Diceros bicornis minor: one gene and its partner. The protein of the gene in region 1 purifies or fractionates together with the protein of each later gene. This does not show direct contact. Links are inferred from orthologs where the notes say so. Each region holds a gene or a part of one and is shown in the gene's direction. Other genes may lie near its edges.

What was found. The genes of interacting proteins can lie anywhere in the genome.
Region 2: the proteins of SF3B4 (region 1) and PHF5A purify together in Homo sapiens (affinity purification with mass spectrometry; 6 studies listed by BioGRID and IntAct, with this or other methods). This does not show direct contact. The link is inferred for Diceros bicornis minor from reciprocal best matches to the Homo sapiens genes SF3B4 and PHF5A.

Annotation. Positions count from the first base shown.
Region 1 is NC_080743.1:54,472,474-54,479,413, reverse strand, and holds the start of SF3B4 (splicing factor 3B subunit 4), read left to right. Parts: upstream 1-3,940; 5' UTR 3,941-4,005; coding exon 4,006-4,039; intron 4,040-4,490; coding exon 4,491-4,619; intron 4,620-4,882; coding exon 4,883-5,425; intron 5,426-5,745; coding exon 5,746-5,952; intron 5,953-6,940. UniProt on the Homo sapiens protein: Component of the 17S U2 SnRNP complex of the spliceosome, a large ribonucleoprotein complex that removes introns from transcribed pre-mRNAs.
Region 2 is NC_080764.1:8,965,695-8,973,368, forward strand, and holds the start of PHF5A (PHD finger-like domain-containing protein 5A), read left to right. Parts: upstream 1-4,631; 5' UTR 4,632-4,672; coding exon 4,673-4,724; intron 4,725-5,148; coding exon 5,149-5,172; intron 5,173-5,689; coding exon 5,690-5,856; intron 5,857-7,674. Other genes in the region: ACO2 (aconitate hydratase, mitochondrial), read right to left, coding at 3,790-3,810, 4,115-4,150.

The DNA of each region.
Region 1 (6,940 bases):
GATTGGGATTGGGGTGGGAAGGACAATGTGGAAGCTGGTTTGAGATTTGTGATTCTGCCTCCTACATGTGAAGCTGGGTATTTCTATCCAAGTGGAGTCTATGAAGTGAATCATTCAAGGTCTTTGTTTTGTCTTCACTTCTATGTGCCCTCTCAATCCTAACTACCCAAAACTTTTCCCCTCTGTGCCTCTTACTTCTTCTTGCCGTGCTTCCTTTTCTCATTCTCTTCTGCCCTAGTTTCTTGGTCCCTCCTTCTTTGTCCCTTCTCCCTCTTTATCACCCAGAGCGCGGTGATCGTGATTTCAATGGCCTCCTCTCTTCACTCGTCCAGCTGCTTTCAGCCCCTGAAGCCCGAACACTGCTTGGCTTCCAATCACTAGTGCAGCGAGAGTGGGTGGCAGCTGGACATCCCTTCCTGACCCGACTTGGGGGAACTGGGGCCAGTGAAGAGGTGAGAATGTTTTGGGAGTGTTTTGGGGGGGGGGGTATTACTAAAGAAGTAAGGGGATGAGAAAATTATATAGTATAATCCATTGGAGGTGAATCAGGTCAGAAGGGTCCTGAAGTTAGGCTGAGCTTGAAGAGAGACCCAGATGAGTGAGGGACCACAACCCTTTACACTCAATTCAGATTCCATTCCTGACCTTCCTACTGGCTCCTGTTCCCTGTGTCTCTCATCCCGTCATTTTGTCATCCTCCCCTTCTAGGTCCCCACAATCTCTTCCAACCTCGTAATTTCCCTCCTCAGGCCCCAGTGTTTTTCCTCTTCCTTGATTGCGTCTGGCAGCTCCTCCAGCAGTTTCCAGCTGAGTTTGAATTCTCTGAGTTTTTCCTTCTTGCTCTTCAAGACAGTGTCAGGGTTCCTGACACCCTTACATTCTTGAGAGACACTCCCTGGGAGCGTGGAAAGCAGAGTGGACAGGTCAGTGACTTCCATTTTTGACTTGTCTTTTTTTCCCCCATTGAGAAGTACTCTCTGAATTTTAGTCTTGATTTATGAAAAGTGAGGTCTGTCGGTGGGAAAGGGGGAGGTTGGCACTCACTCTCAGGACCCGACTTTCACTCCATCTGATTCTTGGAGTAAGAGATAAGAGTTTCATGATTTCTCTATAGACGTGAGAGAAGGATTATATTTTTTTATGTTTGTTTAACCATCCTTTTTCTTGTTTCTTCTGTCCAGTTCAACTCCTATCCACAAGTCTATACCCCAGGGTACTCCCAGCTCCCAGCTGGGAACTCTGTTAACCCACAGCTGTCTGTCTGGGACTGGGATTTACGCTACAGCAATGAACAGATACTACAATTCCATAATCCTGGCTATGACCCGGAACACTGCCCAGATTCCTGGCTCCCTAGACAGCAGGTGAGGTGTCTAAATTTCCTAAATTCCCTTGACTGTCTCACAGACTCATCCTATTAGATGGCGAGAAGTGGAAAGGCACAGTGTCTGAGTTCCCCAGGGAAAGCTATCCCACTCCTCTTCTGTAGCTGTTATTTATAGTCGCTGTCCCCAGGAAGACAGAAATCCTGGAATTGCACAGAGGGCATCCTTTTTGTCCTCCTCATCTCCTTTCTCATGCACACATTTTACAAGTTTCCCTAAAGTCAACTTTAATCAGTCCTGAGGTCTAGTCTGAAACCTAATGAGGAGAGTAAACAGAGTTCTCAGGGGTAGGCTTGTAGTTCCATCAATAGTGCAGTGTGAGTGGGTGGTTGCTGGGCATTCCTTCTTGACCCGGTTTGGGGAAACTGGGGTCATATGGTTTCCAGGTTGCTAGTTGATTTCTCTTTCTCCTTTAGCCAAGCTTCATGGTTCCTGGACCCCCCAGTTCTGTGTGGCTCTTCTCTAGAGGGGCCCTGACCCCCCTGAATCAGCTCTGCCCTTGGCGGGACAGTCCCTCCCTGCTGGCAGTCTCTTCTCGTTGGCTCCCTCGACCTGCTATCTCCTCTGAAAGTCTAGCTGATCAGGAGTGGGGGCTCCCCTCACATTGGGGAGCTTGCCCTTTACCCCCAGGGCTGCTGCTGCCTGGATATCTGGGACCCCAGATCAGACTCTGGAGACGCTGCTACCTGAGGGGAAGGCCTGAGGTCCAGGTGAGTAGGGAAGACAGGGATTGGGAGTGGGAGAAGGGGCTTGACTGCTGAACTAGATGATCCAAGAGAAACCAGCTATTTCTAGGAGCTGGAAAGGCAAGAGGCTGGAGGGACTGGGAAGTCAAGTTCTATTAGTGTAGGTATCCAGGTGGATACATTTGGGAGTGTGGGGCACGGGGGAACCTGCTTGTGACTTAGATCAAGTGGAACCTAGGGCATAAGTGGAGGGGGAAAGAGAATTAAAGACGCCAGAAGCAGTGGACAGATCTTAGAAGCAGAGAGCTAGAGCTGCAATAATATTCCTCTCTGCCTCTCTTCACCCCACCCCAGATGGGCCTCTCGGCTCCCACAATCTCTGGCCTCCAGGATGAGCTATCCCATCTTCAAGAGCTATTAAGGAAATGGACACCAAGAATATCTCCTGAGGATCACTCCAAGAAAAGAGATCCAAATACCATTCTCTCCCAATCCCGTTGAAATTGCTGGCTTTCTCATGGGCAGGGCAGAGGGCAGTCTACGATGGGGAAGGGTTCCTCTAATCCTTCAGTTTTTCTTATCTGGTCTTGCTGCCTCAGCTTTTACACTCCAGCCCTTAAACAAGCTGGCTGACTTGTTTCCATTGCAGATGGCGGGGTGCTAACCTTCTCTAACTCTTGTCCCGTCTCATTTGTTTCTTATAATTTGAAGAATTAAGAAACAAAAACAATCCAAAGTATGATCACCTCTTTTTTTCAGGGAAATTGCATCCATTTTGGATATCCAGCTGTTAAATTGTGAGATAAGAGATGCTATTCAACAGTCCCAACAAGAAGGTCTACAGACCTCAGTCTCACCTCCTCTTGCTGCTTCTTTAACTCTAATTTCTATTTCTTCCCTTACAGTTTTCTATGGGTATGTGGAGTGGATATGGGAGACACCCTGTCTCTTCCAATTGTGTATTTTTGTAGTGACATTTCTATTAATGAGTTCATTAAAGCTCAGTATTTATACACACTGCTGGCATAGTTTCTTGTGTTTGAATAAAAGATCCCAGGTAAGTGGTGGATGGAGGGTGGCTGTGACCCAAGAGAAGGCGGCACCCACCACATATTGCTAAGGAAATAAGGGTATGTGTCAGGTGAGGCTCTGCAGAATTCATATGCAATTTGGGAAAAGTGTTCTCTTTTCTGTGCCTCTCATTTAGGGGAAACATGGGGCAAAAGCATACCAAGGTGTTGTCGCTGCGGCGAGCGGTATGTTCTGGACGTTAAGACTGAGGACCCCGGGCGTCAGTGTCAACCGCCCTCAGCTTCGGTCGCACTCCATCTCTGAGCCCCAGGTTCCCCTCACCCCCCTGTGCAATAACGATTCGGTGAACTCATACGTCGCTCCAGCTCAGACATTCCGCAATCCCCTCCCCTGAGGGAAAACGAAATACCTGAAGCCCAGCCCGGCGGTGAAGCCGCATCTGCCCAAAGGCGGCTGCCCGGGGTGGAGAGCTGCCTCCGCGCTCGAAGCAGCCGAGTCCTTGGGGTGGGGGGGTTCCTCAGCACACCCTTCTCTGGGGAACAAAAGAAGGAACATTTGGCTACAAAATATATGAAAAGTAAAGTTTTGTTCTTTTAGGTTTCGAATTTACACTTTTGGGAGCAGTATAACCCTTTAACGTCTAGCACTTCTTAAGACGGTCTGAGCATTTCCCTTCCGCCTTCCCCGCCCTCCCCGCTCGCAGCGGCACCTTAACACAAAACCAGCGACTGGAGAACTGAGCGCCGTCTCAGCGGCTCCCAAGATGGCCGCGGCCGCTTCCGGCCCCTCCCCCGCCGGGGCCCCACCCACAGCCTCCCGTACGCCTTCGCTCCGGAAGTGGAAGTAGTGACTGAGTTCAGAGGGCGGAATCGCTGCTTGGAGGCGGCGGGACGTTTTTCGCCATGGCGGCCGGGCCCATCTCCGAGCGGAACCAGGGTGACTGGAGGGGACAAGCCCGGAATGGACTCAGGGCGGCTGGGAGGTCTCGACTAAGGCCAGCAGTGTTTCTACCGGGGCGGGAGACTGAACCTCCGCGGAGGGCGCGAGAGCGGCCCCGGTGCCTGCTGGGGGCGGGGTGGCTGGGTGCGGGCTGAGGCCTGTAGGTGTGATGCTCTCTATATCCAATCCCCTGCTGCCTTCCCGCTCCAAAAAAAAAAAAATTCAAAAAGAATTTGCGGCAGAACTCTTAGACTTCAGAAGATTCTCCAGTTCCTGGAAAGAGAAAGGTGTAAGGGCTTAATCTAACGTCTTTTTTTTTTTTTCTTTTTGCTCCTCTGCCTTATCTTCACTCTCAATTCCCCCGCCTGGATTCCATCTTCATATTTCTGTCACCTCCTTTGCTGTCATACTCTCATTTCTGCTCTAACTTCCTGCTCCCGCCCTCCAGATGCCACGGTGTACGTGGGGGGCCTGGACGAGAAAGTTAGCGAACCACTGCTGTGGGAGCTATTTCTCCAGGCAGGGCCAGTAGTCAACACCCACATGCCAAAGGATAGAGTCACTGGTCAGCACCAAGGTGAGTACATGGCAAGAGTGCATTTGGCTGTTGAGGGGACAAACTGCTCCTGGAGGACCCCAGCAGTATTCACAACTGTTTTGTAATGAGCAACCTAAAGATTTCTTTCTCTTAAGCCTAGCTCACAGTTTGTTTCTGGAACCATTCTCAATCAAAGTGAGATTATTATTTCTTGTTCTTTGTGCTTTCGGAGGTGAATGACTTTTACACCATTTTAAATCACTTCACGTAAGTTGTTAACCTCCTCTCTTCCACTTCCCCAGGCTATGGCTTTGTGGAATTCTTGAGTGAGGAAGATGCTGACTATGCCATTAAGATTATGAACATGATCAAACTCTATGGGAAGCCAATACGGGTGAACAAGGCATCAGCTCACAACAAAAACCTGGATGTGGGGGCCAACATTTTCATTGGGAACCTGGACCCAGAGATTGATGAGAAGCTACTTTATGATACTTTCAGTGCCTTTGGGGTCATCTTACAAACCCCCAAGATTATGCGGGACCCTGACACAGGCAACTCCAAAGGTTATGCCTTTATTAATTTTGCTTCGTTTGATGCTTCGGATGCAGCAATTGAGGCCATGAATGGGCAGTATCTCTGTAATCGCCCTATTACCGTGTCCTATGCCTTCAAGAAGGACTCCAAGGGTGAACGCCATGGCTCAGCAGCTGAACGACTTCTGGCAGCCCAGAACCCACTCTCCCAGGCTGACCGCCCCCATCAGCTGTTTGCAGATGCACCCCCTCCACCTTCTGCCCCTAATCCTGTGGTATCATCATTGGGATCTGGGCTTCCTCCACCAGGTAAAGCTTTTGATTTAAAATATGTTTGTCTTGGGTTGGGGAAGGGAGGGCAGGAGGAAGGAAAAAGAACTTGATAAAGACAGACATTGAGTCAGTGGGTCGTGAGAAGGCTTGAGGGATGATGGTTGTGGTGGGGAAGAAAACTGTTGAGTTTCTCCAGAAAGTTGAAGTTGTATGAGTTGCCTAACATTGCTTCTGGCTTTAGAGGGCTGGGAGGAGGGGAAAGGAGCTCATCCTGCCTGGAGAGGCGTGATTGGAACTGGCTCTCTAAAGATAGTCTCTCCTCACTAGCATTAACTCTTCTTCCATTTCTTCTATAGGCATGCCTCCTCCTGGCTCCTTCCCACCTCCAGTGCCACCTCCTGGAGCCCTTCCACCTGGGATACCCCCAGCCATGCCCCCACCACCTATGCCTCCTGGGGCTGGGGGACATGGCCCCCCATCAGCAGGAACCCCAGGGGCTGGACATCCTGGACATGGACACTCTCATCCTCACCCATTCCCACCCGGTGGGATGCCCCATCCAGGTGGGTGTTCTTTGCTGAGAAAGGGAGGGATGAGCTTCATAGAGGAGCTCTATCATCACTCATGCTGCTGCTTTTTATCCTTCAACAATAATAGTCCCAGAGCTCTCCTTTCCTTCAAACGTTCATTTACAAAAACAAACACAAAACTCTTTACTGTGTTTACTTTACCAATTACCATCCTGTCTCGATTTCTTAGTTAAGTTTTTCCAAAGAGTAATCTATACTTGCTGTTTTCTGTTTCCTTAACTTTTATTTCCATTCTCTCTGACTTCCATTCAGTGCAGTGACCTAATTGCCAAATTAGGGGACATTTCTGCTCCTTATCTGGTTTGACTTTTGCTGTACTTGAAACCAGCCATGTCCTCCTGTTTGGAAATCTTGTCTCTTGGTTTTTCTGGATTCTCCATCTGTCTGCCTGACTCCTCGTTCTCAGCCACCTTAATAAACTTCTTTTTCTCCGCTTGTCCCTAGGTTTTTGTGCTTGGTTCTCTGTTCTGCATAGTTCCATTACTTTTACATTGATGCCTCCTAGATCTATATTTCTGGTCCATCGTTATTAACATTTCAGATCCTTAATCCTGCTGCTTAATAGACAGCTCCACCTTTTTATCCCTCCCCTTCAAATCTATTCTTCCTGTAGTATTTGTTTTCAGAAATCTTGGAGCTATGTTTGACTATTACCTATCACCCCACTCTTAATACCAAGTCTTATTAATATCTCTGGCAACAGCCCCCACTGCCAGTGCCCTGGTTAAGGCCCTCATATTTTCATTATTTCATACCTAATTTATTGTAGTAATTTCCTAGGTGACACTTTGACTCCAATTTCTCTACTGTTGATCCAGTTTCATGGTAATTTTTCTAAAACACAGATGTTCACACACCCTTGCTCAAAATTTTTCTCTTGCTCCCTTTTACCTACAGAGTGAAACTCAGAGTTGTTACCATAGCATTCTAGGCTTTTTGTGATCAGGCCCCTGCCCATTAC
Region 2 (7,674 bases), on another chromosome or scaffold:
TTATCTACTTGTTTATTTTCTGTCTCCCCAGAACTACAATAAAAGCTCCACTATTCTTGTAGACTGTTGCACTCCCAGTGTCTAGAACAGTGCTAGGCATATATAATAAGCTTTCAATAAACATTTTGGAAACAGTTGGTTCAAGGGAATTGTGTTCTCTCCTAGTCCTCAAGATGGTGATTCTCAAAAGAAGAAAAACAAAAAATAAAAAGGAAAAAAAAAAAGATGGTGATTCTACTCCCTCTGCCCAAGTTTGAGACTGGAAGTTTGTTTACTCATCCATTCAATCATTCATTCATTCACTCAACTCAAATCCACAGTTAACTACAGGACACCTGAAAAGGTACCACAGGGAACATGCAACCAGAATGACCTGTTTCATAACTCAAAGTAAGATTTTTTTACATGGCACTTTACAGAGAACCTAACTTCTGCCAAATATGTAGTTTTGGCAAGACTTCTTCGTAGTTAACTGCCATCTCAGAGTTACATGCAAGAGGTTACATGACTCTCCAAAGTCATGAGTTGAGAACTCAGCACTCCAGTACAAGGCAAAACCAAAGACCTAAAAAATGTATTTGCAAGTGCCCAATCCCTCTTATTTACCATCTATAGTCATTTGCACAAAAATAAATAACAAAAACCAGAGGGTAAACGTGGCTTTCCAAAACTTGCACCTCCACTGTCTTCACTGTTTCTAATCTCACTAGCTGGTAGCAGGTACTGTCAAACTTTCAACTTAAAGAGCACTGTTCTAAGGTTATGGAGCAATATTGGTGCCCTGGTGGACAGGCTGAGTCTTGATGCCACAGGGAATCATGGTAGAGCAGGTGCTAGGACCTCGGGCTCTGGAATCAGCAAGGTGCAGAGTCAAATCACATCTACTAACAACTACGGACAAGGCCCCAAGCAAGTGTATTTTATTTTGTTTAATAAACAATCATATAGCACTTACTAGGTACAGGCAGGGTTCTAAATACTTTACAACTCTAATATGATTATTAGATAAGTCAGATGTTCTATTACTATCCATATCTTACAGGTGAGGAAAAAGGCACAGAAAGGTGAAGTAACTTGCCCAAAGTCACAGCAAGCAAGCATCAGAGTCAACATTCAAATTCAGATAGCGTGACGTCAGAATCCATGCTCTTAACCATTACACTGTTTCCTCTCTAACCCTGTTTCTTCATCCATAAGACAGGGCTAACAGCTCTGCCTTATCTCACAGGGTGTTGTGAGATTACTGGCACACAATAAGGTAAATATGAGCTACTCTTAGTGATAGCAGTAATTACCATCATTCTATTATCTACCTTCATCTTTGGTTCAGCCAAGGGCAGAAGAAAAATATTTCGGCTGAGAAAGATCTCCAAGGCCCTCTACAGTAGAATACATTAGAATATAGTGGAAGCTCCATGAGAACAAGAATTGTCTGCTTTGCTTATCATTGTATCCAGAGCAAGCAGTGGGTGCTCAGTAAATATGTGGTGAATGAGGTAGGAATAAACTGAATGCATGGGCAGGATTCTGCAGATATGACAACTAAGGTAGTACCATCACTTCTCAAAAGTAGCCAAACACAAAAGAGGTAAATTTACAAGGTTCTCAGAGGACAGTATTAGCTGGCCACTACTTAAGACAGCTGGCTACTGGGAGGCAGTGTGGTATAATGCTGTTCATTCATCTTAGCTGAATGAACAAACAAGGAGACTTGGATTCTAATTCTGACTGTGCTACTGGAAGTCACCCAGGCTCTCAAGGTCTTGGAATGTCCATATGTGAGAGGCTGGACCACATGATGATCATAAAAAAAAAAAAACATATTCCTCTTTCTCATCACTTTATATCAATCATCATAACAATCTGAGTAGAAGCCAATTACCACGTACTCAATAAATGTTTGTCAATGAAGATCCATCACCAACTGACAGATGAGAAAACTGGGATTCAGAAGTAACTTGCTCAAAGTCACAGGGTCACGGTAGAACATGAACTATGGCTCAGATCTCTTTCTATACCAGTCTAACACTCATGCTTCCCAAGATCCTCTCTCAGTTCAAAAATACTGTGATATAAGTCCTCTCTTCCAAGCTTAATAAATCTGTAATCATTTATGTTAACAAATAATCTTGCCTGATTTCACAACATCTTGGGACAGAAGGATCAGGAAAAAGACAACTATTTCCACATTGTTAACCTACAGAATCAAAAGATCTGAAGAGATAATTAGGGGAAATCCCTTGTCTTTGCCCAGAATTGAGAGATCAGAAGTATTTTAAGGGCCGGCCCCGTGGCTTAGCGGTTAAGTGCGTGCGCTCCGCTGCTGGCAGCCCAGGTTCGGATCCCGGGCGCGCACCAAAGCACCGCTTCTCCGGCCACGATGAGGCCTCGTCCCACATACAGCAACTAGAAGGCTGTGCAACTATGACATACAACTATCTACTGGGGCTTTGGGGGAAAAAAAATAAAATAAATAAAAACTTTAAAAAAAAAGTATTTTAAGATAAATGATGATTTCACTTTAAACCGTATGGTTTAAATTTAAGCAATGTGATAAAAAAAAAAAACTTCTAGTAACACAATGCTTCCTCAGAGTACAGCACACAACTTTTTTTTGTGTGCGTGTGTGAGGAAGATTAGCCCTGAGCTAACATCCGTGCTAATATCCTCCTCTTTTTGCTGAGGAAGACCGGCTCTGAGCTAACATCTATTGCCAATCCTCCTCCTTTTTTCCCCAAAGCCCCAGTAGATAGTTGTATGTCATAGTTGCACAGCCTTCTAGTTGCTGTATGTGGGACAGGGCCTCAGCATGGCCGGAGGAGCGGTGGGTCGGTGCGCGCCCGGGATCTGAACCCCGGTCACCAGTAGCGGAGCGAGAGCACTTACCTGCTAAGCCACGGGGCCCGCCCAGCACACAACTTTTTAATTCTATAGTCAAAGCTGCACGACTTGATTCAAAGTAGATTCACAAAGTTAAATGGAAAAGGTTGTCAGAGAATGTCTATAAGTGCTTGCTTTCTTTATTTTTATTAACAAACTACACGCTTGATATTGAACCTTTGAGTATAATACCTTCCTAGAGCTGTCAAGTTAGGAGTGAAAAAAACCATCTGGAAGTCAGATGTCAATTTTCTAGATGATTCATAACAGGAGAATCAAGGTCAAACAGGAGAGTCAAGATCAAACCGTTGAGTCTCTTTACCCTCCCATCTAGTAATTGAAAAGCAACTAATTGTGAACTCAAAATACTCGACTCTGGTGCTCTAACAAATACAAATGTCAGCTCAAGGATCACACTTTGGTTCAGAAAGTTCTGTGAGGATAGGTTGACATGAAGAAGAACAGAGGGGTAAGTAGGACAGACGCTCAGGTCACAGCACTTCTGTGACACTCACAAAGCAAGAACTGTCATCTACTTTCTAGCAATTTCATCACCTAACAAATAAGAAGAATCACCTCACCAGATGAGTAAACGAATCAAATGTTATGATGAGGAATAAAACCTGTCTTGCAATCTTGTGCAAAGGTGAGAGACTACTGTTATTACTATTTACTACGTCGGGGCCCAGATTTCCTTGTATTCTTGGCTATACTGTTATGATCCGCAGGATCCTCATAAAATGTAATAGGGTACTAGTTTTTTCTCCCGACTCCAGGCCTGCCAACCGTAGATGCTCCTGGCTAGCTGAGAGCCAAGTCTCCGCTGCTGAGAGATGAGAAGAGAGGCCTTCGGGTTCTGGGCTCAGCGGGCTCAACAACGACCGCGCCCCCCAGTCACCTTGTCCTCACCTTGAGAAACAGAACGGCACCCTACGAGAGAGAAGAGTGCGGTCCTCAAAAAGGAGAATGAGGTGCCTCCACTCTTCACCTGGCCGCCGCTGCTTGGACCCACGGATCCCGTCAGCGGGGTCTGGGCTGGGAGAGCTGACTGAGCCGGGGACGCCTTGACCTCGGGCGCCGGAGTAGCGGGCACCGGCACTGGGCCCGCGGTCGGAACAGGTACACGGAAAGTCGGCCAGAGGTTGGGTCCGCCTCGCCCTGCCTCGCCCACAGCCGCAGGTAAAGTAGGAGGCACCCCGCCCCCGTGAAACCCGAGGGCCCTGAGCTCGCTCACCTGCAGCCGGGTCACCAGTAGGCTGTAAGGCGCCATTTTGTGCACTGACAAAGATGAGGTCGCGTGAAAGTGACGCGACAGACGGCGTATTTAAAGCCTTCGGTCAGGGGGGGCGTGGCCTGAAGAGAAATGCGTCACGGTGAAGGCGGGGCCTCCAAAGAGGCCCCCAGTGCCCTAAGAGCGCAGTGGGCCGAGGTCCCGAACACGGGAGAGGAAAAAGAGCTGTATGAAAGTAAATACAGGGTACAGTGTTATCTCATCGAAGTGCAAATTTCATCTTTGCACTTTGTCTCTTCCATCCAAACCTAAGAAAGGTATTTTGTCTTAATGACTTTCACGCACCTGCCAGGACCTGGCTCCCCAGCTAACAACGGAAATTCGTCTTTGGAACTTAAAGGTTTTGATCCCGCGAGAGCAAGCGGGGCTTGGTGCAAAGATTGTAATCGCTGATGGAAGCCTAGAGGACCAATCACGGCGACCAGGAGGCAGGAACAATGGAGGTTAAAGGTCGAACGGAAGTTCCCGAAGCTTCTGGTGGCCGGCGCTTGAGTGGGAGCTATGGCTAAACATCATCCGGACTTGATCTTTTGCCGCAAGCAGGCCGGTGTTGGTGAGCCGGCTTCCTTGCCCCGGCTGTCTGGGTGGGGTGGTATTAGGAGCTGGGGAGTCGAGGGTTCCCGTCTTCTTTAGGGTCTTGCTTCGGAGGCGCCACGTTTCCCGCCTCACGGTCGGTAGTGAAGGAGTGCGCGAGTTTGTGGCCTCGGATGAAAAGGGGGCGGGGGCGCGCGTGCTGGGAGGAGGCGGGTAGCCAGGGTGGGGCCCGGAGAAACTTTCAGACTGCCCAGGGCCTGGGAGGGGCTTCAAGAGGGTGTGGGTTTGGTTCGGATCGAAGTTTATGAAGATAAGATGGATAAGTTCCTTCAGGGCTCACTGCTGTCCCTGCTCCTGTCCCCACCCCAAGCTCGAGGATGTTTTTCTCTTCTTCCTCAAAACCTTAATTCTAATTACACTCTTTACTGTCTTTGATCTTGCAGCCATCGGAAGACTGTGTGAAAAATGTGAGTGGAACACGCCCTCCCAAACACCCCACCCTGCCACTCGCAGTGTCCGTGGAGCCAGCAAGAGGGCATTTCCAGTGGTGCCACAAAGAGGGGTTTGAGTAGATGCGCCTGGAAGCATGTGGACACTGAATGCCAGACTGCAACAAAGGCCCCTCCACTTCCCCACTCCAACTTGCATGTTTTAGGTGCTATGTTTAGGTTTCAAGAAAATCTCTAGCTTTGGACAGGAAGTAGCATGACCCCATCCCCAACACAGATCTTTGCCAGTAATTATAGACTTATCATCTAGCAGGTGCTGTTCTAAGCTCTTTACACATTAGTTGATTAACTTTTCCTGTGTGTTGTGGGGATTGTTGAGATGGACACAGGTAAGCCAGGTTCTGTGATGCCAAAGTAGAGGGCCCTACAGTCACTGTTAGAAGGAGACTGGTGTATTTCCCCATCGCAGGAGGAGGGCAAAGGACTTGAGGAGGTACTTGCAAGTAGGCATAATTCCATTCTTTTTTCCTCACAGGTGATGGCAAGTGTGTGATCTGTGACTCCTATGTGCGTCCCTGCACCCTGGTGCGCATATGTGACGAGTGTAACTACGGCTCTTACCAGGGGCGTTGCGTGATCTGTGGAGGCCCTGGAGTCTCTGACGCCTATTACTGTAAGGAGTGCACCATCCAGGAGAAGGATGTGAGTGTATACTGAGCTTTCCAGCTGATCTTTCTTCCTTTTATTTAGTAACACGTTGCCATCCACAGCAAACTCCTATGATCTGTGGAGATTACTATGGTCAGCTAGTTACCTAGGTTATAATTTTTTCAAGTTCTGTAAGCTAAACTGGGTGTAGTCCAATAAAAGGCTGTTATTTTGCATCAAGGGCAAAAATGCAAGAGAAGCAAATCTTGGTCAACACCAGCAATTTGGAGAGCCCTCTCTCTATTCTTTTGATGTCTCTCTGATTATTTTTATTCAGAAACAACATCCTGCATTTTCTAAGTCCTAGCACAGTGCATGGTGTGTACTAGCCACTCAGTAATTCTCTTTACTGTCATTAAGGACTGTTTGGGTGGATGTGGTAACATTTGAATGTGGGACAATTCAGGTTGATTTCAGCTTTAAGCCACTAAAGAATGCCTTTGGTTTGATATTGCAGAATTGATTGTGATTCTATCTCATGACATTTTTGCTCTGTGACATTGTGTGGTGGCAGTGGCTAGTTATTCAACTCCTTGAACCAAATGCCAGCATAGAGGGCTTGTAGATTTATCCAAAGGCAAGTTTTACCATTTTTCTTTAGATTAGAAGCAGCAGGCTTCTTAGGGGGGGAAAAAACCTGGATTAGCTTATTTTCTTCTTATGACAATAAAAGAAAGTGTGATATAGTACCAGTTGGCTAATAGAAGATATGCGTTTACCTAATCTAGGATAAGGCAAAAGATATATAATTGTTAATAGTTCCATGAGCAAAGAGTAGGTAGTTTATAGATGTTTATATAGTTTATTCTTCACAAGAACTTTGATAAATAGAGATTATCATCATCCCCATTTTACAGTCCCGCAGCCCACTGATAAGTGGCAAGCACAGGCTATCTTGACTAAAGCTAGTGGCGTCCACATTACAGCATATTGTCCTTTTGTAAGTCCTTTTTGTCGGCTGTGCCCATGTTGAGGAGAAACAACCCAGCCACCTCAGCAGTTTATGCATTTGGCCAGATAAGACTGTTTCTTACATCATTAAGTCTTCTATTATTTAGGGAGATACGAAGGGTCATAGATACCAAAAACATAATTTCAGTTGGTGATTTGAACATTCTCCCATCCTACACTCTGATTTGCATTTCTCTTTGACTGTCAGATCATATCCTGCTTGATCTGATCCACCAGCTAGGTTACACTCCTTCAGAGAAAGGACCTCAGTTTGTGTATTTGTCTCTCCTTTTCTGCATTTCTTGGTACAGGGTCTGGCATGTTTTGTCGGCATGGTCCACATTTTTGGTGCTGCCCTATAAGTCATCTATAGGAGTTCCCCATACAGAGGGTCTGGTACGTAGTAGGTGTGTGGTAATTATTTATAGTCTGTAAGCAGTGAAACCCTGGTAAGACCCCAGCAGTGAAGAGAAAGTACGAGCAGTTCTTTAACTAAAGAGTCCGTTAAGGACAACGTTCTCTTGGACTTTTGCAGGTTTGTAGCTAGAGTTCTTATCTGGAGTAAGCTTTGAACCAGAGAATGCTTAATAAATGTTAATTGCTGTCTGACTCGTCTGCATGTGGTGTGTGACCTGATATCTTTGGATCTTCGTGCTTCATTTGTAGCTAGAGTTCTTATCTGGAGTAAGCTTTGAACCAGAGAATGCTTAATAAATGTTAATTGCTGTCTGACTCGTCTGCATGTGGTGTGTGACCTGATATCTTTGGATCTTCGTGCTTCATTGTGTCCCTGAGAATTATTCTAGACGTCACTTCCCCTACTTCACGTTATACAGGAATGTTCTGAGGATACCTGAGATG